Cricetulus griseus: one gene and its partner. The protein of the gene in region 1 interacts with the protein of each later gene in a biochemical or structural test. Links are inferred from orthologs where the notes say so. Each region holds a gene or a part of one and is shown in the gene's direction. Other genes may lie near its edges. The genes, in order: Plin3 and M6pr.

The links.
Region 2: the proteins of Plin3 (region 1) and M6pr form a complex in vitro, tested with the Homo sapiens proteins (2 studies listed by BioGRID). The link is inferred for Cricetulus griseus from reciprocal best matches to the Homo sapiens genes PLIN3 and M6PR.

Annotation. Positions count from the first base shown.
Region 1 is NC_048598.1:97,261,659-97,272,772, forward strand, and holds the start of Plin3 (perilipin-3), read left to right. Parts: upstream 1-5,546; 5' UTR 5,547-5,638; intron 5,639-8,417; 5' UTR 8,418-8,434; coding exon 8,435-8,500; intron 8,501-9,776; coding exon 9,777-9,975; intron 9,976-10,126; coding exon 10,127-10,209; intron 10,210-11,114. Other genes in the region: Arrdc5 (arrestin domain-containing protein 5), read left to right, coding at 1,471-1,980. UniProt on the Homo sapiens protein: Structural component of lipid droplets, which is required for the formation and maintenance of lipid storage droplets. Required for the transport of mannose 6-phosphate receptors (MPR) from endosomes to the trans-Golgi network.
Region 2 is NC_048601.1:22,964,813-22,976,207, reverse strand, and holds the start of M6pr (cation-dependent mannose-6-phosphate receptor), read left to right. Parts: upstream 1-5,643; 5' UTR 5,644-5,821; intron 5,822-8,611; 5' UTR 8,612-8,612; coding exon 8,613-8,791; intron 8,792-9,452; coding exon 9,453-9,619; intron 9,620-11,395. UniProt on the Homo sapiens protein: Transport of phosphorylated lysosomal enzymes from the Golgi complex and the cell surface to lysosomes.

The DNA of each region.
Region 1 (11,114 bases):
GAGAGCAGCAAGTGGAGGGTACAGCCTGTGCAAAGGCTCTGGGACCACGAAGAGCCCAGTGTGAAGGCATGGAGAGAAAGCCCATGTGTGAACCCAGCTTTGTCCTCATTTACAGGAATGGGGTCCTTGAGGCCTGCAGAAGCCCACTTGTGCCCATGAAGACAAAGTTTTCAACACATAGGAAGGGCTCCAAGGGGCTCTCTCAGCCTTGGAGTACCAGGCAGAGAGCAATAGCTGTTGTTGAGAACCCTGGAAAGATACAGGCATCAGAGGTTTGACAGTGGGAGATGATGTCGGAAGGTCAAAGGTTGGCTATACCCTTGACCCTAAGAGGACAGCTTGTGAAACTGACTGTACTTTTTCTTTCTTTTTTACATTTATTTACGATGCTGGAGGGGCTCCCCAGCAAGTGTATGTGCATCAGAGGACAACTTGTCGGAGTCAGTTCTTTTCTTCCACCACGTGGGCTCCTGGAATTGAACTCAGGTCTTCCAGCTTGGTGGCAGACACCTTTGCCCATTGATCCATCTCTGAGCTGCCACCCTACCCCATAGGTTGTGTCGTTCAAATCACAGGTCATGACCTCTGAGAAAGTCTCTCTCGTGAACTGGGTGTAGCAGTGTACTCCTGTTATCCGGCACTTGAAAGATTTAGACAGGAGGATGGCAGTGTGTAAGAGGGGCAACCTCAGCTACCCAGTGAGGCCCTGTCTCAATGGTGGTGACAACCATGATTGTAATAGTGATAATAGGCCAGGCAATGGTCGTATACACCTTTAATCCCAGGCAATGGTCATATACACCTTTAATCCCAGCACTTGGGAGGTAGAGACAGGAGGATCTCTGTGAGTTTGAGGTCAGCCTGGTGTATAGAGCAAGTTCCAAGACAGGCTCCATAGCTACACAGAGACCCTGTATCGAAAAAAACTAGTAATAATAGAAATAAAGCAACATAGTAAATACAGACAAGAAATCATTGTACAAATGCATGGAATATGGCACTAAAGCTGGTATCAACTCAAAAACAATTATACTTTCAAGGGAGCTGAGACATCTGGCTTTCAAGCTGGATGAAATCAATGGAAAAAGCCTCTTAAACACTCCTAGAAGTGCCAGGTGTTGGTGACACATGCCTTTAATCCCAGCACTTGGGAGGCAGAGGCAGACGGATCTCTGTCAGTTCTAGGCCAGCCTGGTCTACAGAGTGAGTTCCAGGACAACCCCCAATGCCACAGAGAAACCCAGTCTCAAAAAACAAAAACAAAAAGGCTCATTCTGTTGTCCAGGCTGTCCCTTCTGTGGCCCAGGCTGGCCTTGAATAAATCCATCTTCCAATCTGAGCCTCCTGGTACTCCAAGGTCCCTTGCTGGAGACACAAGTCTGAGAGACACAAGTCTGGGTCCCAAGTCCCCCACAGCCTGCAGGAGCTCCAGCTATAAGTCCTCAGCAGGTCTATCCTCTTCCCTTATAGAACCCCCTGTTGGTGGAAGTTGAGAAGAAAGTATCCTACAACTGTTGTAGGCAGGGCTGGGTGACCCTGCAGGTGCAGATGGGCAAGAACATCTTCGTGCCAGGCGAGAAGGTGACATTCACGTCGGAGATCCGCAACAACACGGGCAAGTACATCAAGACCGTGGTGTTCGCCCTCTATGCCCATGTGCAGTATGAGGGCTTCACACCCAATGCCGAGCGGCGTCGGCGGGCAGACAGCAGTGAGCTGCTTCGGCAGATGGCCAATGCTCGCATCCCGGCCTTCAACAGCACCAAGGTGGTCAGTGCTTTCACCCTGCCGCTGGTGTTGTCCGTGAGTAGTGGCTCCCAGGAGAACGAGATTATGCAGACCAGCTATGAGCTTGTAGTCACTATCCACCTCCCCTGGTCTTTGACAACTGTCAAAGCCCGTCTACCTATCGTCATCACCAGCACCAGGGAAGACAAGGCCAGCTGCCCCCAGGTGGACGAGTCACTAAACGAGGATTAACTGGTTTGAATGCCCCGACTTTAAATATTAAAAGCGTATTGTAACTCTATGTGAGTTGCTTGTCTGGTGGGCCCAGGACTAGCTGGGCATGTACAATGCCCTGGGCTCTATCCTTGGATACCACATAATCCCGGTGTGATGGCACACACCTGTCATCCCAGTACTCAGATGGGATGGAGGAACAGGAGTTCAAGGCCAGCCTCAGCATTCTTAGCAAGTCCAGGCTAGCCTGGGCTATGTGAGATCCAGTCTGAATGGAACAAAGATGTCTCTAAAGTCTTGGCAGAAAAGCCACTGTGGGCCAAGTTCCCATGGGTTAAGTATCTACCTCTAAACAGAGATCTCCAAGGCCTTAGGCATGGTGATGCACGCCTATCATCCCAGAACTGGGGAGGCTGGGAGATTTAAGTCCAGCCAGCCTGGACTATGTGAGACCTTGTGTCAGTGTTCATGCCATAGCTGCCATGACAACCCAGCTAAGGCTTTCTGGAACATTCTATCCAGCTCTGCAACTTTCACAGGGAGACTCCTTCCCCCTCCGCCCTGAGACTCAGTGACCCACACCACATTTCCTGTGTGGTGACTGATGGCACCCACCATGCCAGGTGGGCCAATGGGAGATGGCAGCTGGGGCCACCCTGCTTCCTGTCCCCCATGGAAGGGCCCCTCATTCTTCCTGGCTTCCAACCCCAAAATAACCCCCCTCCCAGGAACCTAAGCTACTCACACAGCTGCAAGCTCAGGAGGAGCACTGGCTGCAGCTGCCACCCAGGGACTGTCCATACTGCAAGCCCCAACCAACAGTGCTATGATCAGTCTCCCCACCTTCTAGGGCTGGTGGGAGAAGCACTGTTCTTGTCAATTAGAAGCTCTTGACTTCTAAGGGTCCTATGGACCAGAATGCCCCACTCCCAAGTCCAAGGTGACACCTCCATGTTCGCTTATTCAGTTTCAAGGTGGTCACCCGGACAGCAGTCCCCAGTCTCCACCCAGGAACAGAGACAGCAAGAACAGTTTGTCCCCACTGGCATGATAACATGACCAGGATGTCCTGTTTGCTGGCAGTGCTCTGAGTGTCCAGGCAAGCCAGGTCACCTGGGCCAGGCTGCCCTCTCTGGGGACTGGGAGGACTGTGGTCCCCGAAGGATTGGATTACAGGCCCCATAGGGAACAGCCCTTGGGCCAGCCAAGGTATTTACAAAGTGAAGTCTGCCCACTGGCCTGCTTGCTTTTAAGTCACCTCAGGAGCCACCAGGCACCCTGCAGGGTCTGTCTCAGAGCCCAGAGAAACAAGAAACCAAGGAGACTTAGTGGCTACCTCTCAAAGGAGCTGGAGCTGCCAGCATGTGGTGGCCAGAGAAAGGAGACCAGTAGGCCCAAGGGGCCTGGAAGAAGCTAGACCAGCCTGGTGGGCCATGGGTCTCAGAGCTATGCCCCTCCCCCAAGCCGGCCACCACCACTGCCTCTCACAGGAGACAGTGAGCAGCTGGTGCCATGAGGCCAAGGAGGTCGGGGACAGCCAGGGCCTGTGTGTTAAATGTCCCTCAGTTTCCTGTGGTGAGAAGGAAAAAACACTGGCCACATGAGTTGGAGAAGTGGACAGCATCTGGCCATTAGGTTGCTGAATGAAAAGCAAGGACTTGAGGCTGTTAATGTGTCCTTCAATGAGTGGGGACAGGTTGACATCAGGACTCAGCCACTGTAGAGGGAGAGCTCTCTTTTATCTAGGATCTTCGTTTTTCCTGCCTCAAATCTCATGCATCCCAGGCTGGCCTCAAACTCATTTAGCACAGGCTGCCCTTGAACTGACCCTCCTCATCCCCCCCTACCCCTAGCTCCAGGGTGCTGGGGTGACAGGCATGCACCACACCTGGTGGATGTGTTGCTGGGGAAGGAACCCAAGTTTGGTGTGTACTGATTAAGCAGTCTGTCCCAGCCCCTAATTTCTTCTAAAATTAAAAGTTGCCAGAGTGGTTGCATATGCCTCTCATTCCAACACTGGGAGACTGAGGCAGGGGGATGGCCTCAGTGAGACAAAGTAAAAGTTCCTTGGAGGCCAGCAAGATGGATCAGTGAGGAAGGGAGCTTGCTGCCAGTTCTGAAGATCTGAGTTCAATCCCCAGGCACCATGTGGTAGAGAGACATGACGCCTGAGTGCTCTTCTTGTCTGACCTCAATTTTTAAATATTTCTTGAATTAACTCTAGCAATTATTGTTTTATTTGTTTTTGAGACAGATTCACTATGTAGCTCTGACTGTTCCCCTAAAGTCTTTTTTTTTGGGGGGGGAGGGGTTCAAACAGGTTTATGTGTAGCTTTTGGATCCTGTCCTGGAACTGGCTCTGTAGACCAGGCTGGCCTCGAAATCACAGAGATCCGCCTACCTCTGCCTCCTGAGTGCTGCGATTATAGGTGTGTGCCACCACCGCTCAACCCTCCTAAGTCTTAATGCTATCCTGCCAGCCTGTCATCGCACTGGACTGAGTGCTACCAAGCCAAGAGGGTCCAGACTATGTCCCCAGGGCTACCCTGCAGAACCTTGGTATACAGTAGGTGTTGAATGCCTATATACACAGCCAATGAACCACAGGCCAGGCCCAGAGTTAATGGTACATGCCTGCTAAGTCACAGAGGAAAGGGACACCCTCGCTGGCACAGGGGGAAGTGCATCATCGGGGTGGAGGCCACAGAGGGAAGGGCGCCATGCCATGAAGGCACAGAGCGAAGGGGCGCTGTGTGGGTCAGGGCGTCACCAGCGGCAGCGTGCCCCATCCGTCTTCCGCCCCTGTGAAGGCATCACTGTTCAGTGGAAACAGGAAGAAGAGGAATTCAGTCATCAAGGCAACCCAGAAAAAGGAGGTCCGGGGAAGAAGTCAGGAAAGATTGGAGGTACCTCAGTAAAGGTGGGTCCTCCCCAGGTTGGGCTCACGTTGGCGCATGAGCAGTTGCAAGCGCCTATGCACATTTCCCCCCCACTGGAGACCTGAGGGATTGGGGAGCAGCACATAGGGTCACCCTGAGGCCGTCTGAGGTTAACCCCTTGGCTTACAGACAACGGGAGAAAGATTTCAGGAAGGCGGGCAGCCTCAGGGACTGCTTGATACAGGAGTCCAGGAACCACGGTGGCCAGCCATCTCCTGGGCCTCAGCGCCCACCTCGCCCACCAGAAGGCCTCGGCACGGTGAGCGCCTCAGGCTGGCTGAGAGAGCAAGCTTTCATTTAGGGCCCTATCGAGGTTGTGTATACTCCTGGCTATTGATTCCCAGAGTTCGGATGGAGACTATCACTTGGCGTATCTGAAGATGTCGCAGCTATCCCTGGATCCACAACCTTCTTTGAAACATGGAAACATGAAGGATGCCAGGATCCCCTAAACTCTCAGGAAAGGACGTTAGACAGGCTTTCCTTCCCCCTTCCATAAAAGACCAGAACTTTAGGTCTTTTGAGGACTCAACTAACAGGCAACCTGGTCTGGGGCTCCTGAGAAAGGTGGGTAAGTGGGCGGGACTAAGTCACAGGGCCCTCTTATTGGTCCTCTGTCCCGTCACTCTCAAGCTCCTCCCCCACGGGATCCACAGGGCCGCCCCGCCCCTCCAGGGCAGATCCGAACTGACTTTGGGAGGGCTCGGTTTCCCTGCCTCGACAACCTGAGGACTCTGGTGAGAGTTGGGGGGCCCAGGGTCGATCTTGGGGCTCCCCTGGGGAGGAGGGAGACACGAGGCTTTCCTGGGAGGGTCAGAGGCTCCCAAATCTCTGCACGCTAGGAAATTCCACTTTTATAGGAGAGTAACTTTTGCCGGAGGCTGCAACTGTTGCAGCACTTGCAACTCTTGCTTGGCCTGGCCACCCTGGGACTTTGGAGGTGGGGAATGAGTTCCTGAGTGTCAAGGAAGGTGGCTTCTACCGTCCTGGGTCTCCAGAGTTAAGAGTTGTGCTCAAACGCACGTCCCACGCTTCCTGGCCTGCAACTCCACCTTCCTTTCCCGGTACCGAGTCTCCTGTCCTTCAGAGTAATCAATCAATCCTGCTGCTTCGGTTGTAAATAGTTTTACCAGCCCAGCACTGGTCCCGACCTAGAGCGGGTGTAGGGTGGGGAGTGTAGGGGGAGGGACCCTTGCATAAAGCCAGGCTTGTTCCACCCTGGGCCTGGTGCAGCCCTCGCTTGGAATCTCTGATTCAGTCTTTTGTTTCTGTTTTGGTAATTGGTTTTGGAAATGGGCCTGTTCTGTAAACTAGGATGGCCTGGAACTTGCCATCCCCCTGCCTCCACCAGTAATGCTGAGATGACAGCATTGTCACTAAACCAGGCAGAAAGACTTCCTTGACCACTTCAAAGTCCTGGCTACACGCAGCAGTCTTTGACCCTGGGGGCTTCTCTGGCTTTCTCAGCAGAGAAAGTAATCTTGTGGGCGGGGTGTGAGAGGGTCGGTCAGTTCCTGGCAGCTGGAGCCAGCTCTACAGAGGTCACAGACCCCCAAGAACTAAGAAAGTGCTTATCTACAGTGGCCACCCTTTGCTTGGGGTGGGGGGCTCCAGGAGTGTCTGACTGACTTCAAAGGGGTCAATTAGGCTTTGCTGCCCACCAGGTAAGGCGACAGTAACCTGGCTTAAGTGGTGATCACAAGACTTGAAGCATGACCCTCATCACCTGACTGCTCTGTTGGGAAACCTTTATCACAAACCGGAAGTTGCAGCCTTCACTATCAGCAGTTAGGCTGCGGTATGCCAGACCGGTTTATTGAGCATCTGACAGACGCCACCATCCAATCCACCAGAGAGTCTGAGCTATAGATAATGGCAAGCAAGCTTCCCAAGGAGTTGAGCCCTCTGAGCTCCTTCCAGGGGTCTCCAGAGTCAGGATCAGGGGCTAGTGAGTTGGCAGAGATCGATACCTGAGTTTGACCTCCAAAATTCATGGTGGAATGAGAAAAACTACCCCTACAGGTTATCTTGTGACTTCCATATAGGCACACAATGGCAAGCATACACTAACATAGACACATGATAAACAATAAATAAAATGTAGAAAATGAAACAGAAAGAGGGCTGGGGGTGTCGCTCAGTGGTCAGCGCTTACCTAACATGTGATAAGACCCCAGGGAACCACCTCAAACATTGTGTATACACACACACTCCAAAACAGAATCTGTGTTCTGGAGTTACTGGGTTCAGACCTGTCACATCAAAATTTTCTGGGGCACCAGGGTCTGAATTAGGGGCAACCTTTAGACTCAGTGTGGATATGAGTCAATGGTGCTGGTGGAGACAGCATGGCCTATCCTGATTCTGCTTTCAATGAGCTGAGACTCGAGTTTCCCTCTGATGTGGTCTCATTGGTTCAAAACTATTTTTTGAGACAAGGTCTTATGTAGCCCAGACTGTCCTAGAATTAATTCATGATATAGTTGAGGATGACCTTGAAGTCCTGACCTTCCTCCTAAGTGCTGGGGTGACAGGTGTGTGCCACCACTCCTGGTTTGTGTGGTTTTGGTAGCATCACTGGGGTATGCCAGCTCTGCCCACTAACCCCAGCCCCTGGTTTTTGAATAGGATTACTTACCTGGCCTAAAATTCAGGGACCCGGCCCGGTGTTGGTGGTGCACACCTTTAATCCCAACACTCGGGAGGCAGAGGCAGGCAGATCTCTGAGTTTGAAGCCAGCCTGGTCTCCAGAGCAAGTGGAGAAGCTACACAGAGAAACCCTGTCTTGAAAAACAAATAATAATAATAATAAAAATCAGGGACCCACCTTCTACCCCCATCCTCTATCTGAAACCTGTCCTTAGTCTCCCCATTTTCCCAGATCTTCTAACATCTATGTGAAGATAAAATCAGGCCGGAGAGCTGACTCAGTGGTTAGGGCGATCACTGCTCCTTCAGGGGATCCAGGTTCGGTTACCAGCATGCACTCAGGTGCCTCATACCACCTAACTCCAGTCCCAGGGGACCTGACACCCTCTCCTGCACTCTGGCTACTGCATGCACATAAAACCAAAATATAAATATAAGATTTATTTATTTATTTAGAGACAGGGGGTTTAACTCTGCAGACCAGGTTGGCCTGGGACTCACAGAAATCTGCCTGCCAGTGCTCCCGAGTGCTGGAATTAAAAAGACCTGGGAACCCTGTCACAACCATCAGGAGTTAGGAGTTCTAAAGTTAGAGGTTGGGGGTGTGGTGAGGGTGGAGCACCCCTCCTCCCCCTGTGCAGGGCTGGGGGAGTGGTCAAGGGTGCAGCTTTGCTGAGTGCCTGGGGCAGTGGCTTGGCTCTCCAGCACCAAAAGGGTCAGGGGTTGGGAAGGAGCTGTGGTGAGCTAGGCTCCACTTTGGACCTTCTGAATCAGTGACAGGGCTCTGAGAGAGCTGAAGGTTCATAGATCAACCCTGCTTCCTGTGTTCATGGAGCAGGCTGTCATTTGACTCTCTTTTGCTTGAAGCACCTGCTGCTGAAACCATGTCTAGCAATGGGACAGATGCTCCTGCTGAAGCCCAGGCTGCTGTGGAAGAACCTGTCCCACAGGTGAGGGGCCTGAGTTGCAGGGAGCCCTGCAACTTCTGAGAGTTCTCTGTGGCAGACTGCTGGGGTCTGGGAGGGGCAGCCAGGAGAGAAGTCTGGAGGTCTGCCTCCTTCCTTCCTTCATTTTCTTTTTTTTTTTCTTTTAGCTTGAGACAGGGTCTCACTATGTAGCCCAGGCTATCATGGAACTTCCAGAGATTGCCCCTACCTCTGCCTTCTGAATGCTGGGGATTAGACACCTATGCCTAACCCTTCATCCTTTGTCTCCTTTCAATACAGGGTCTCATGTAGCACAGGCTAGCCTCAAACTCACTATATGGCCAAGGATGATTTTGAATTCCTTTTACATGCTTCTCTGCCTCCCATCTCTCTGTCTCTCCCCAACTCTCTTTCCCCATCTCTCTGTGTCTCTGAGACTGTCGTTTAACCCAGGATGACCTCCAATTCACAATGTAGCCCAGGATACCACAGTCATAATAGAACCCTTGAGGTTCCGGTCTATGCTGAATGACATCATGTGCCATGGCCCCCAAGTTTCTAGGGTTGGGGATGGAACATAGGGCTCCAGCAGCACAATGTGATCCACAAGGAGGGATGCCAACAAGGCAGTCCGATAAGATAAGTCTTATAAAATATATAGATTTATGATAATTAAGACTGAGCTAACAGATGAGAATCCTAGTCATTGGCCAAGCAGCATTGTACCTAATACAAGTTTCTGTGTATTCATTTGGGCCTAACTCGGGCGGGCGGCTGGCGTAAAGCTCACACGTGGCGCTTGCGCTCAGGACTTTTGGCGGAAAGATTTATTGTAACATAGGGCCTGTTATGTGGCACACCAGTGCACTAACAAAAATGGGGTTCCGCCGGGCGTTGGTGGCGCATGCATTTAATCCCAACACTGGGGAGGCAGAGGCAGGCAGATCTCTGTGAGTTCGAGACCAGCCTGGTCTCTAGAGCGAGTTCCAGGAGAGACTCCAAAGCTACACAGAGAAACTCTGTCTTGAAAAATCAAAAAAAAAAAAAAAAAAAAGAAAGAAAGAAAGAAAGAAAACAAAAGAAATGGGGTTCCTTTGTCATGGCACTGCCTGAGTCTGTCCTGGGTGGCCAGTCTGATGCTCAAACAAGTAAGCCACCAGAAGCACGTGATGGAACCTTCAGGTTCCTGCCTTGTGCAGTTGTTTTTACTAGGCATGATGGAGCCCTGCTGGCCTGCTCCCCCAAAATGAGAGCAGGCCTGTGGGCGTCCCGAGCTCCTAGCCCAGTCTCCTGCCCTCAGCCCAGCGTGGTGGACCGCATGGCCAGCCTGCCTCTCATCAGCTCCACGTGTGAGATGGTGAGCGCAGCATACACCTCCACCAAGGACCGATACCCCCATGTGAGGACCGTGTGTGATGTGGCTGAGAAAGGCGTCAAGACCCTCACTGCGGCTGCGGTCAGTGGGGCACAGCCCATCTTGTCCAAGCTGGAGCCCCAGAGTGAGTTGAGGACCCCAGGGTGTGGAGAATGCTTCTCATGGCCATTTTTGGAGGGGGGTGACTCCTCAGTTTCTCTGAAACTGGCTCTAGGTGGCTCTCCCCACCTCTGAAGGGCACTTACAGTGGGTGTGTTTTCTCTTGTGCCCTGCAGTTGCTTCGGCCAGCGAGTACGCGCACCGAGGGCTGGACAGATTGCAGGAGAGCCTGCCCATCCTCCAACAGCCGACTGAGAAGGTCAGTGCTAGGTCAATTGACTCTGTCTTGAGGCCCTGCCTGGACCCTCCAAGTCCATGCTTTATATTCAACACGCAGATGACAGTCCTTACTGTTCCCACCCACATTGGGCAGAAAGGTCTTGAAGTTTGGCCACATCCAGTCAGAATACCATCTGGATCCCACTGAACCCAGAGCAAAGGGCACTCAGTATCATCTGTCCTCTCAAGCACCATGCACCATTTGATGGGGGTACACACCTTTAGAAACAGTTGTAAGCCTTTAGGAAGGAACCTAAACCCAAGAAGGCGGGGGACAAGGCTACAGCAGATGCAGCCATTAGAGCCTGCCCCAGGACCTTTGATGAACTGGTTTTTTGGTTTGGTTTTTGGTTTTTCTTTTTTTTAAGATTTTGTTTATTTTTATTATGTATACAACATTCTGCTTCCATGTATATCTGCACACCAGAAGAGGGCACCAGATCTCATAACGGATGGTTGTGAGCCACCATGTGGTTGCTGGGAATTGAACTCAGGACCTCTGGAAGAGCAGCAGTGCTCTTAACCTCTGAGCCATCTCTCCAGCCCATTTAAACTTTTTTTTTTTTTTTTTTTTTTGAGGCAGGTTTCTCTGTGGCTTTGGAGACTGTCTTGGAACTAGCTCTTGTTTCTGGAACTCACAGAGATCTGCCTGCCTCTGTCCTGAGTGCTGGGATTAAAGTGTGCCACCAACACCGCCTTTTTTTTTTTTTTTTTTTTTTTTTTAAGATTTTTGATTTTTGGTTTTTCAAGACAGGGTTTCTCTGTGACTTTTTGGAGGCTGTCCTAGAACTAGCTCTTGTAGCTCAGACTGGTCTCGAAATCACGGAGATCCACCTGCCTCTGCTTCCCAGGATTAAAGGTGTGCGCCACCAACGCTCGCCTGAT
Region 2 (11,395 bases), on another chromosome or scaffold:
CTTTTCTTGGGCTGAGTTAATTATTATATATAAAAAAAATTATTTCCAAAATTGTGCTGTGTTTAAATATAGCTAAAATAAATGAACCAGTGGTCAGAACCGGTACCAAAATTGGGCTGATCCAGTTTCATTCTTGTCTCTTCACTGATTATTTGCCCGTCCTTTATAAAAAAGGGGCCCTCCGCAGTGGGGAGGGGCAGGGTGAGAAGAGCTGAGAGGAGCCACCGGTACTTCGTGATCCCGGAAGCCACGATGTGCTTTGGTGTGTTAATAGGCACCTCGGCTAGCCATTTGTTTCCAGTTTCTGTTTGGACCCGACACCCATCTGCCCACCTGATCACCGGACCTCATAATGCTATCTCAAAGCAACACTGGACTCAAACAGCTTCATCCAGCGCGAAAGCAAACCAAGCGGAGTGTCTTACAGATCACCTTGCCAGCCGCTTCCATCCCTCCTCTAGCTGGCTCTGTCCACCTACAGTCTCTTCCTTTCACAATGGGAGACCTAATTCTTCTCCACTCTTCTCTCCCCGCACCCCTTCTTCCTTGCCAGTGCTCAGTCCTTGTCCCTCAGCAGGAAAAACCAGGCATCTGGGGGACACCTAACTGCAGCTTTTCTCTGTGGGAGTTCATAGGGCTGCAGCTGAGGACCCTTTCCAACCGAGGCAGGCTCTCCGCGCTGATCAGATACTGACAGTACCAGCGCTAATGCGCAGGCTGGCTCATCGCGGCCACTTCCTTTCTTTCTGGGAGGCTCTCTGTAATTACAAAGCATCCCCACATCTCTGTTTCCCACTCCTTTCTCCTGACCCAGCAGTGCTAAGCCCCGCCCTCTCCTCTTTGACAGCACCCCGCTCCCTGCCGGCAGCCTATCTTCCTCTCCAGGACCTCACTCTATCTGCCACTGCTTCTCTCAATGGGGAAATTCACCACACGCCTCCACTCTAAGTTCCCCCTCCTGTCCAGAAGGAAGAAAAACAAATAGCTACCTTCTCGGTTTCTCTAGAATAATGAGTTCCTCCTCATTCCCCTCACAGCTGAGTCCAATGAAATCCCCCTCCAGGTCAGGCTCCCTTGATCTAACCAACCGCAACTCTGTTTCACCACCTCACCCCGTGAGTCAGGTTATGACCCCTGCCTCCTAAGACTCGTGCCTGAATTGCATTTTAAAAGTGTTCCATTTAAAATATGTCCAATTTGCAAAGTCCCAACTTACTTTATTTACAAAATGCATTCAGTGACATCGACCTTCCTCAGCAATTGCTTTCTTCCTCATTCATGCTGTTTCTCCTCCTCCTCCTCTCCTTTCTAGAGTTCCTTTTCTCTCCTCTTCCAACCCAGGAGCTACAGGCCCCACACTCACACCTTAACACACACACACACACACCACACACCTCTCACACACACACAAAGACACCCCACACCTACAAACACACCACACATACACAGACACCCCACACCTACACACACAGACACCACACACCTACACACACACACAGACACCACACACCTACACACACACCCCACACACCTCCCCCCAACAGACACCCCACACCTACACACACACCACACACACACAGACACCCCACACCTACACACACACAGACACCCCACACCTCCCCCCTCACACACCTCCCCCACACACACATCCCTAAAGGGAAGCAGCTCTCAGCTACAAGCTATAAACAAACAAAAAAGGGGTTAAAACCACCCAACTGCCTAAACTCCTCTACACTCTTCCTTTCAAATGTCCTGTAGAGGGTTCCAAAACCTTCACTCAGTGCTCTCCCAGGGTCCTATCATTGGGTTTTTTGGTTTGTTTACTGGCTGTGGCTGAGTTTGTAAGGGTCTTATGTGACCTGTCGATGTCATCTTATGTCTCAAAAGCAATCTAAATAATAAGGCCACTGCTAAGGTTATGGCTTATTAGACACCTGATTGCGTGCCACATATTTATTGGTATGTATGGGTTTGTATGTGTATGTAAACTGTTGTGGCATTCAGATCCACTGGAAGAAACCGGTATCAGCTCAGGACCCCCAAGAGCGAGTTCTCAGCACCAAGAAGATTTATTTGCCCCAGAGGGACAGAGGGCAGGGATAAGGGACAAAGACAGGAGATAGAGGATGGGGAGGAAGGGGAAGGAACAAAGGAAAGGGGACAGAGGTGTTTGTCCCAGAGAGGACTGCCTCTGGATAGAGAGGAGACAGACGTGTCACATAGGCAAATGACAGCTTATAAAGGTGAAAGGGGAAACTCCTTGTTATGAGTTTAGTTTATGAATGAGGAGTTAAATTTTGATTGGACAGGTTAAATTAGGGCAGCCAAAGAGGGGTTTTGATTGCTAGACTTCAATACTTTGATAGCTGGACCTTGGAAGACAACTGAACGAGGAGGAAGTAGTCAAATAAGCGAATAGACCTTGGTGAGTAGCTTTAGGAATGGAATCTTAGGGTTTTTAGCAAGGAAGAGGAATCAGGGAAGGGCAAGGCCTGCCAGAGCCGTGTTTGCCATGCATGGGCTTGCTAGAGCCCTTCACTTAGACTCAGTTCAAATTTAGATTAAATGAATTTATGCTTACTGCTAGCAGAAAGACAGAAGCCTGAGCGCCAAACAGCATGCTGTGCCCAAATGGGGGCTAAGGCGAGGTCTGAAGGCAGACATCAGAAACATAAGCATCACAACTGTCCATGGACCCCACAGCTGGGCAGGAGCATTGCTTGGCTTGCTTCTCCCGATTGTTTCTGACTTTCCCAATATATAGTAATAAAAAGACCATTTCATCCCTTTCCCACATCAAGGTTTACAGAAGCAAAGGCGTCTGTTAATGCCTCACCTGCAAGCTGTGGAATTCTATTCAGCTGTAAAGAAAAGGGAAAGCAGAATGGTTGACGGCAAATGGATGGACCTAGAAGACATTGCATTGAGTTTGGTGACCCAGATTCAGAAAGACAAATGCTGCATTTCTCTTTTATCTGTGGTTCCTAGCTCCAAATCTTCAGATGTGAGGATATACATGGAGTAACAGCAGAAACCAGGAAACTATAAAGCGATTTGTGATGGGGGAGGGGACTCTTGAGGCGGGAACAGCTGGATACAGGTGATATGAAGTGGGAAATGGGAAAATGGGGAGAGAGATTTCAGTTGAGTGGAGGGAAGGAAGTCAATACAGAAGGAGAAGGAAGGGGAGAAAATAATACCAATGTTTTTTATTATGTATACAACATTCTCTTCCATGTATATCTGCACACCAGAAGACGGCACCAGATCTTATAGTGGATGGCTGTGAGCCACCATGTGGTTGCTGGGAATTGAACTCAGGACCTCTGGAAGAGCAGTCAGTGCTCTTAACCTCTGAGCCATCTCTCCAACCCCAATACCAATGTTTTTTGATAAACCCTTATGGAAACATTTAATATTTGCCTAAAATTATACAACACACATAAGGCCATTTGGGCTGACAATGCTCCCTACAAGAACTATAGACTAACAAAACCCCCAGTACAAACCATGAGAAGTCTCTCAAATGGTTAGTCAGGATAGTCCAATGACTCCCAAAACAACATAGACTATGTCTGTCACCCTTGGCTGCCTCTCAGAGGTTGAAGGTAGGTCCCTATTGCTGAAGACACTGCACACTTAAGACATGGGACTCACACTATTCGAGTTGGATCAAATGTGAGAGTCTCCTTCCTGCAATCTAGCTTCCACGGTACCAGAAAATACTATACAAGCTGCCAAGGGAGAGAGGCATTTATAGTCCTACCCAGCTGTGACACCTATAAATGCCAGCCTTAGACATAAAAATGCAGTAAGTCTTACTCACATGTTGGTGGCAATCAACCTCAGTCTAATGGAACTTAACGCCCACTCAACAGGACGGAATTACGCCTGGTACCAGAAACCTACTCAACTTCCCACGGTTGGTGAGGTCATGGATCTTAGAAGAAGATCTACTGCCACCACTTTGCAAGGTCAGCATAATTCCTAACGGCATTTTCAATCTTATCCTTATACCCATCGGTAAATGTAGCTCTCTCTCACCCCACATCAAAAAAGCTTCTCTTTACAGCAAATGGAGACCATCATAGAAAACCGTAACAGGAACAATGAAGAGATCAACAGATGGTGAGGGCTCCAGCTCCAATGGCTCAGGGAACATCACAGCTCCTGAATCCATGGCTCAGCCAACATGAGGAAGAGAGAGACTGGAAAGAATTTAAGAGCTGGGATACCAGGAAGTCTGATGTGAAACAATGTATCATAGAAATGGCTACACAAATAAGATCTGAACAATGGCAAAATCAATAGATAGGCTAGCAGAGAAGAGAAATCTCAAGTGGCTCCACCCCTAAACAAAGAACTACAGGCAATTAATGACTTCTGGGAGAGGGAGAATTAACCTCTCCCAGGGACGAGCCTCCTAAGTGGTTATCCAACACAAAGTGATCATTCCTGAAACCACATACACACAAACAGCAAAAATAGACTCAGCAGTTGTAATATATTTATGCATACATATAACGATAATAAATTTTTAAAAGAGGCTATCAAATGGAGGGGGCACGGAAAGAGCTAGGTGGAGGAGTCTTTGAGGGAACTGGAGGAAGGAAAAGGAAGTAATTATATTTTAATTAAAATTTTTAAGTTCACTTTTTAAAATAGTATGGGCACTACAGAGCTAGCAGTTTCAAACATAATATTGCCTCTAACATGGATCCCTATTTAAGCAGAATGAGAATGATATACACAAAAGCATGTAAGAGTCAGAAGGGAATGACTAGCTAAAGCCAAAAGAACCTTCAGAGGAAGAAATTAGTAACCTGGAGAGTAAACCCAGGAAGCCATAACAATTAAGTATCAAACCCAGTCCTTAGAACAAGTAGGAATTCAGAGAGTGGCTAATAAACCCCCGGAATCTGCAAAAGACCTTACCAAAGGCGCAAAGACCCCTCCTCCCCCCCCCCGAAACAGAATGCAGACTAGAGGAGCTGCACACATAGGGCAGCTTTGATGAACAGAGTATGCTTATCTAGCAAGATGCCACAAGAGGACAAGTCATTGCAGTAATAATAGCACGTCCCCAGAGAGTTAGAAAATTCTGACTGAAGGTGTTAAGAAAACGAGGACAAGCAGGATCCTAACGTTCCACTGTCCAGGTCGTTCAGTCAACTATAGACCGGGAGAGATTCCAGCCGACGGATGGCTGAGCAGCGCCGCGCAGAGGCCACTATGGTAGCAGCAGAGCCCTAGGAACTACAACTCCCAGAGCGCCTCGGGAGCAGAAACTACAACTCCCAGCGAGTCCAGGGAGCAACACTGTCCGTAGCTTCCGCCTATCGCCCCTCTCTGACTGTCTTCCACCGGACCTAGCGGGACAGCTGGCACGTGACCCCCGCGTGAGTGGGGCGCGCCAGCCAAGAGTCCCTGGAGGCGGGGCTCGAGCCTCATTGGTAGGAAGGCGGCCCCCCAAAAGAAGAAATTGATCTTGACAATCTGGGAGCGACTGGAGTTGACGGGACGGGAGCAGAGCGAGCGAGGCTGCTGACCAATCAGCGTTCGGGGGAAGGAAAGGGGCGCGATGGCTCTGCGGTCACATGCCGCGGGGTCTGGTGGGAGGAGCAGTTGCTCAGCTGCCTCTCGCCGCTTCCTGTTTCCGGTTTCTGGAGCAGGGAGCCGAGCGGCGCTTTGGGGAGCGCTGGCCTCAGACAGGAACGGAGGACCGGGGTCTGCGACTCGCCGCTCTCCGGCCGCGTCTCCCAACCCCAGGGCCACATTCTTGGGGGCTTCTTCGCTTCAGCTGCTGTGTTTTCCGTGACACGTGAGTGTGGGGGGCGTGGAGGTGGAGGAGCAGGTGGGCCGGGGGTCCTTGCTCGCCCCTGCGCCGGAGGAGATGCAGTCCTCGCGTCGCGCGTGGCGGTGGTTCTAGCCCCAGACCCTGCTAGCGAGCCGTAGAGCCGAGTGGGGGCGAAAGGCGTGAGCACCGGGAGCGTCAGGCTACCAGGAGTGAGGGGGAGGACTTCATGACCAGAAAGGGGGTTGCGATGTTCTGAAGGTGCGGGAAATTAAGTGCCAAGTGGGGAGACCAGTGAAGTGGTGTTACTGGGTGCTTGTTGGAAGAATTTTGCCCTGTATCGTGGAAGTAAAGGGGCGTCGTGGCATCATCATTTTGGGTAAGGCATGGCTCTGAGCAAATGGAAAGCGAGAATTTCCAGGATCCTGGAAGAAGTTCGAGGAACTTGTGTGTGTGTTAGCTTGGTGTGGAAAAGAGTAACAGAGGGATTTATCTGTGTTTCTTCGTGTAGGAGTTTGAAGCACAGAACTACTTCCCAGAGGCTCTTTCAGCATTGGGCCTTTCCTGGCAGTTCAGACTGATCTTAGAAGGGTTGGCTGCTATGAACCAGGAGGAAGAAACTAAAGCCTTCCATTAGAAAAAAAAATGGAAAATGGCCACGAGTGGGAAAGTGCGAGCGAACATAAATGATGTCAGCAGTTTCCCAATCTCTAACTTAGTCGTTGGCTGTCCTTAAAGGAGAATGTCCCAGCATCGCCAACAGATCTGTGTCTCTTTAGAGTAAGGAAATTGAAGATTTTCAAGTTCCTAAGATCCTCTGTCACACACTTTGAGGATCTATTTGTGCCATATTAAAAAGGGACTGCCCAGCTTGAATTTCATACTTTTCTCTCCTTGTGCCTATGTTTATCAGAAGTTTGCCAAAAAATGCCTTCATGTCATTAGTCATCCAGGTTGCTCTAGGAACTTCGCCCATTTAATATTTGTGTAACCAAGAACAAGTAACTCAGTGGGCATCTGTAAGCCTCAGTTCCTTTATCTTGCTTTCCCAACATAATGTAAGTAAAGCATTTATGATATACACCATACTGGATCAAAAAGAGCATCTCAAACTTAGAGTCAAGTCTTTCTCCTGGTTTTTCTGCTTACAGTCAAATCTTAAGCTAGACAGGATGTAAAATTATTCCTCTTTTTTGGACAAATTAGCAAATGACAAATCATTTGGTTCATCTAATGTCTGCCACAGCTTGTTTTAATTCTTCATCCTGTCTCAGTTCTGTGAAGTTTTCTGCCCTCATTTGGGAAGAGAAAGCAGTAACAGTTAACAAATGAGGAACCATCTCTGAGGCCACAGTGCACAGCATTCATTCTGTGAGAGCATCCCCCCAAAATATGCTCCTGGGGAGAAAGGGCTTCAGAGCCCAGAATGTTAACATTTTCAATTAGATCCTAAGAGAATTTAAGGGAAATGGCACAGAGTGGGTTAACAAAAGGACCTCTCAGTGATTTGACTGGTTGGGCTATGTGTTGAGCAATAGGTGAGCTTAGGGAAGGCAAGAGCTTAAGTCTGAGCTTTTTGTTACACTCTAGTTAACTCTGTGAGGACTTGCTCCTCTTTCCTGCTTTGTTTTAAAAAGAAGAAAGGCAACTCTGCTTTGGTTTCTGCTAGCATCCCAGAAAATTATGATGAAAGATGTGCATGACGGTGACGCGTAGAACTTGAGCTCCAGAGCCATTTCTTTTACTCACGCTATTAGCTGTATTGTCAGTGTTTGTTTTGTTTGTTGTTTGCTTTTTAATCTGCAATAGAGATGATTAAATTTACTACATAAGGTTGGGGGGATTGATTAATTAATGCATGTTAAGTATTTCAGGTAATGCCTGGCTGAAGGCTGTCGCTATTAATGTGTCCTATTGTTTTGTATTTGAGATGTGTTAGAGAGCCTTTGACCTCTCTTGGCCACCAGTGATTATTGTGTGGAAATGCCTTGTTTGTGTTTCTGTAGTTTGATGTGTGGGGTATTTGAAGTCAGGTAGATAAGTCCCCAAGCATTTGTTACCCTCCTTGCATATGGGAAATAGAAACTCAGATTAAATTTCAGGGAGAAAAGGAAATGCGATTAGATTACAAGGTTGGAGTGTCCATGGTCTTGTCATAAGGAAAGACTGGAAGAGTTAAATGTCTCCGAAAAAAAACAGTGAAACTTAAATGAACAATGCCCAATGGTCTGAAGGGTTACCGATAGATAGGAGTGAAACCTTCTGCCAGCATAAATCACTGTGGCCTAACTACAAGGATGATATAGGGATGTCCAACTTTTCAACATACAAATAGGACGTTATCATCTGCAAATATGTAGGGCTGCATTCACAGACACAGCTGAGGGTGTGTCTCCCATGGGCCACATAAGGCTGTTAGAGTAGCACAGACAGTGAGTGAAGGTGGCAGTACAGGACTGTAGAGTGGAGAAAGACAGCCATCTTGCTGAAAGTAGAAGGAAGCCCTTGAGATTTGTGGCTTGGAGAAGCTGGGACAGGTTTTGGAAGACATCTAAGCCCTTGTTGTGATTGGGTGGCTTTCCAGGGAAATGGTGTGTAAGTAATTGAGGTGACTTGGGGTGCTGGAGCTGCTTCACTTCATCCCACGTGCTTCCAGTGAATGTGAAGAAAGATTGCTGGATGCTCCCAGAATACTGCTATGAAGCAGATTCATGCTTTTTGTTTACATAATCAAAATATTAATTTTGCAGTCATGTGATGTATCTGTTTCCTTTCTCTCCGGAACCTGCCTTCACCTTCAACACACTCTTCCAAAAGGATGTTCCCCTTCTCTGGCTGCTGGAGGACTGAACTGTTACTATTGCTAGTCCTGGCTTTGGCTGTGAGAGAATCCTGGCAGGCAGAAGAAAAGTCTTGTGACCTGGTAGGAGACAATGATAAGGAGTCAAAGCAAGAGAAGGCTCTCCTGGAGAGGCTACGGCCACTGTTTAACAAAAGGTAGACGAGCAGAGCCTTAAAGGGTTTAAGAAGTGATCTTTATTTGGGGTTTGCTTTTACTGACTGTACTCGAGCATTAATGTGAAAGGGGTACATGCACGCTATGAAGTCTAACCTGGATTTTGGCAGTATTGGTTGTATTTGGTTGTAACACATTGCCCTCTTAGCGACAGACCAAATTCACAGCCATGTGATCATGTGTGTTTTTCTTATCTTTCACAGGAAAGTATCCGTTTCTAATGACTGGCTCTAAAATACCAGCCTGTAGAAACCAGAACATAACTTGATAGCTTCATACAGTAAGACTTTAGAAACATCAAGCAGACATACTTAAAGAGATATACATGTCTGAGTATGTCTTCATCGCTGTCAGGGAATCTTCAGATATAAAATGATCCTTAAGCATGGGACTGTCCCTTGCTGTAACGAAATAGCCAACACTTTTGCATAGCTATAATAGGTATGCTATGATGTGTAGCTGTTTGGGGTGGTATCTTTATCAACAAGTAGGATAGTCTATGGGGATATAAACAACTCATAGTTTAGCAAATTCAGCAAATTTGCATTTTGTACATTGGTTGTCATCAAAGGGAGGGGTGCAGTTTTTCCTGTTTTAGTAACTAGTGATACTGTTCTTTCTCTCTCTACTTGTCTTCTGCAGTTTTGAGAGCACTGTGGGCCAGGGCTTAGATACATACAGCTATAGATTCAGAGTATGCCGGGAAGCTGGCAACCACTCCTCTGGAGCAGGCCTGGTGCAGATCAGCAAAAACAATGGGAAGGAGACGGTGGTCGGGAGAATCAACGAGACTCACATCTTCAATGGAAGTAAGTATTTCCTGCTGACTAATCCACGGCAGTCCTCTGCAATCCTTTATGTGTTGTCCATCCCCAACTTTTTGAGTATGTCATGTTATGGAATTTGCTCCACCTGGACTGTACCTCACAGTGCCTAGTTCCACAGCTGGTCTGGAGCCATAGCTCAGGACACCTCTGTGTTTGAAGATAGTGCAAAACTTTAACAAAAAGAATATGGGATTGGGGAAACAGTTCAGAGTAGAACATTTGCCCACATGCACAAAGTTCTGCTTTGACCCTTAGAACCACAAAAAGAAAGATGGAAGGAAGGGGTAGAAGAAGAGATGATGAATGGGAATGAATATGAAAATGCCAGAATTTTACATAGCCAGGAGTCCTTCTAGACACCCAAATATTTAATGAGTTCCACACCAACCACCACCATTTCTCATCAGTTAACCAAGTTTGCCAACTGAATTCCAAAATACCTTTTTATGCAAACCAGTAAGTATTTAAGGAAAAAGAAACACACCACCTACTTGTACTAACATAGTTGTATTTTTCAAATGTCATGAAAGTGGCTTGATTTCTTCCCATAAGCAGATAATTAATCTAGTGTAGATATTCGTTATGTAAAGAACAAAATAAAATGCATGAGTGCATTCTTGACCCAAATCATCATTTTCCTAGTATGATGGTGTCTTAGTCGTTGTTCTGTGGCTGTGAAGAGACACTGTGACCAAGGCAACTGTTATAAAAAAAGAGTTCTACATCCTGAGCCATAGGGAGAGAGAGGGGGAGAGAGAGAGAGAGAGAGAGAGAGAGAGAGAGAGAGAGAGAGAGACAGAGACAGAGACAGAGACAGAGACAGAGACACTCACTCACTCACTCTGGGCCTGACATAGGCTTTTGAAACCTCAGAGCCCACCACCAGTAACGCTTGCTCTAGCAAGGCCACACCTCCTAATGCTTAAAATCCTTTCAAACATTTCCACTCCTTGGTGACTAAGCCTTCAAATTTATGAGCCTATAAGGGGATCATTCTTACTCAGACCACCACAGATGATTATGAGGTACTAGCTCACTGGTTATAAAATCTTCTCATATGCAAAGTTAAAAGCATCCTTACCTATTCACTTCACATGGTGGTTAGTCACACAAGATTTTGCAAAGAACTTGAAAAGTAGTAAATACTAAGGAAGGGAGATGTATTCCCAACTCAATAAACATCCACTTTGAATTTATCTATGTTACTTTGGACTAAGCAATCATCCAGAACCTCCTCTCCTTTTGCTGTGTTGAGAAAATGTGCATCAGTGTGAAAAGCACAGATAATAACTGTTTTTACACATTCTCTTGCCTACCTTTAATGTAAAAAATGGGGTTAATCTTTTTTGGGGTGGGAGAGCGGGCGTTGAGACAGAGTTTCTCTGTAACTTTGGAGGCTGTCCTGGAACTAGCTCTTGTAGACCAGGCTGGTCTCAAACTCACAGAGATCCGCCTGCCTTTGCCTCCCGAGTGCTGGGACTAAAGGCGTGCAACACCACCGCCCGGCTGGAATTAATCTTAAGTATTGAGTTTTTATTGTCTAAAACAGGGCAACACAGAGTTTTGTCAAGAAACAAGTTTTAAGGCCAGGTATGGTGGCTCATGCCTGTGACCCTAAAACTTGAGAGGCAGAGGCAGGAAATGACAAGTTGGAGGCCAGACTGGTCTATGTAATAGTGAATTAAGGCCAGCCAAAACTACATAGCAAAACTCTTGTTTTTTAAAAAAGAAAAGTTTTAGCTTAGCATTTAGATGTAC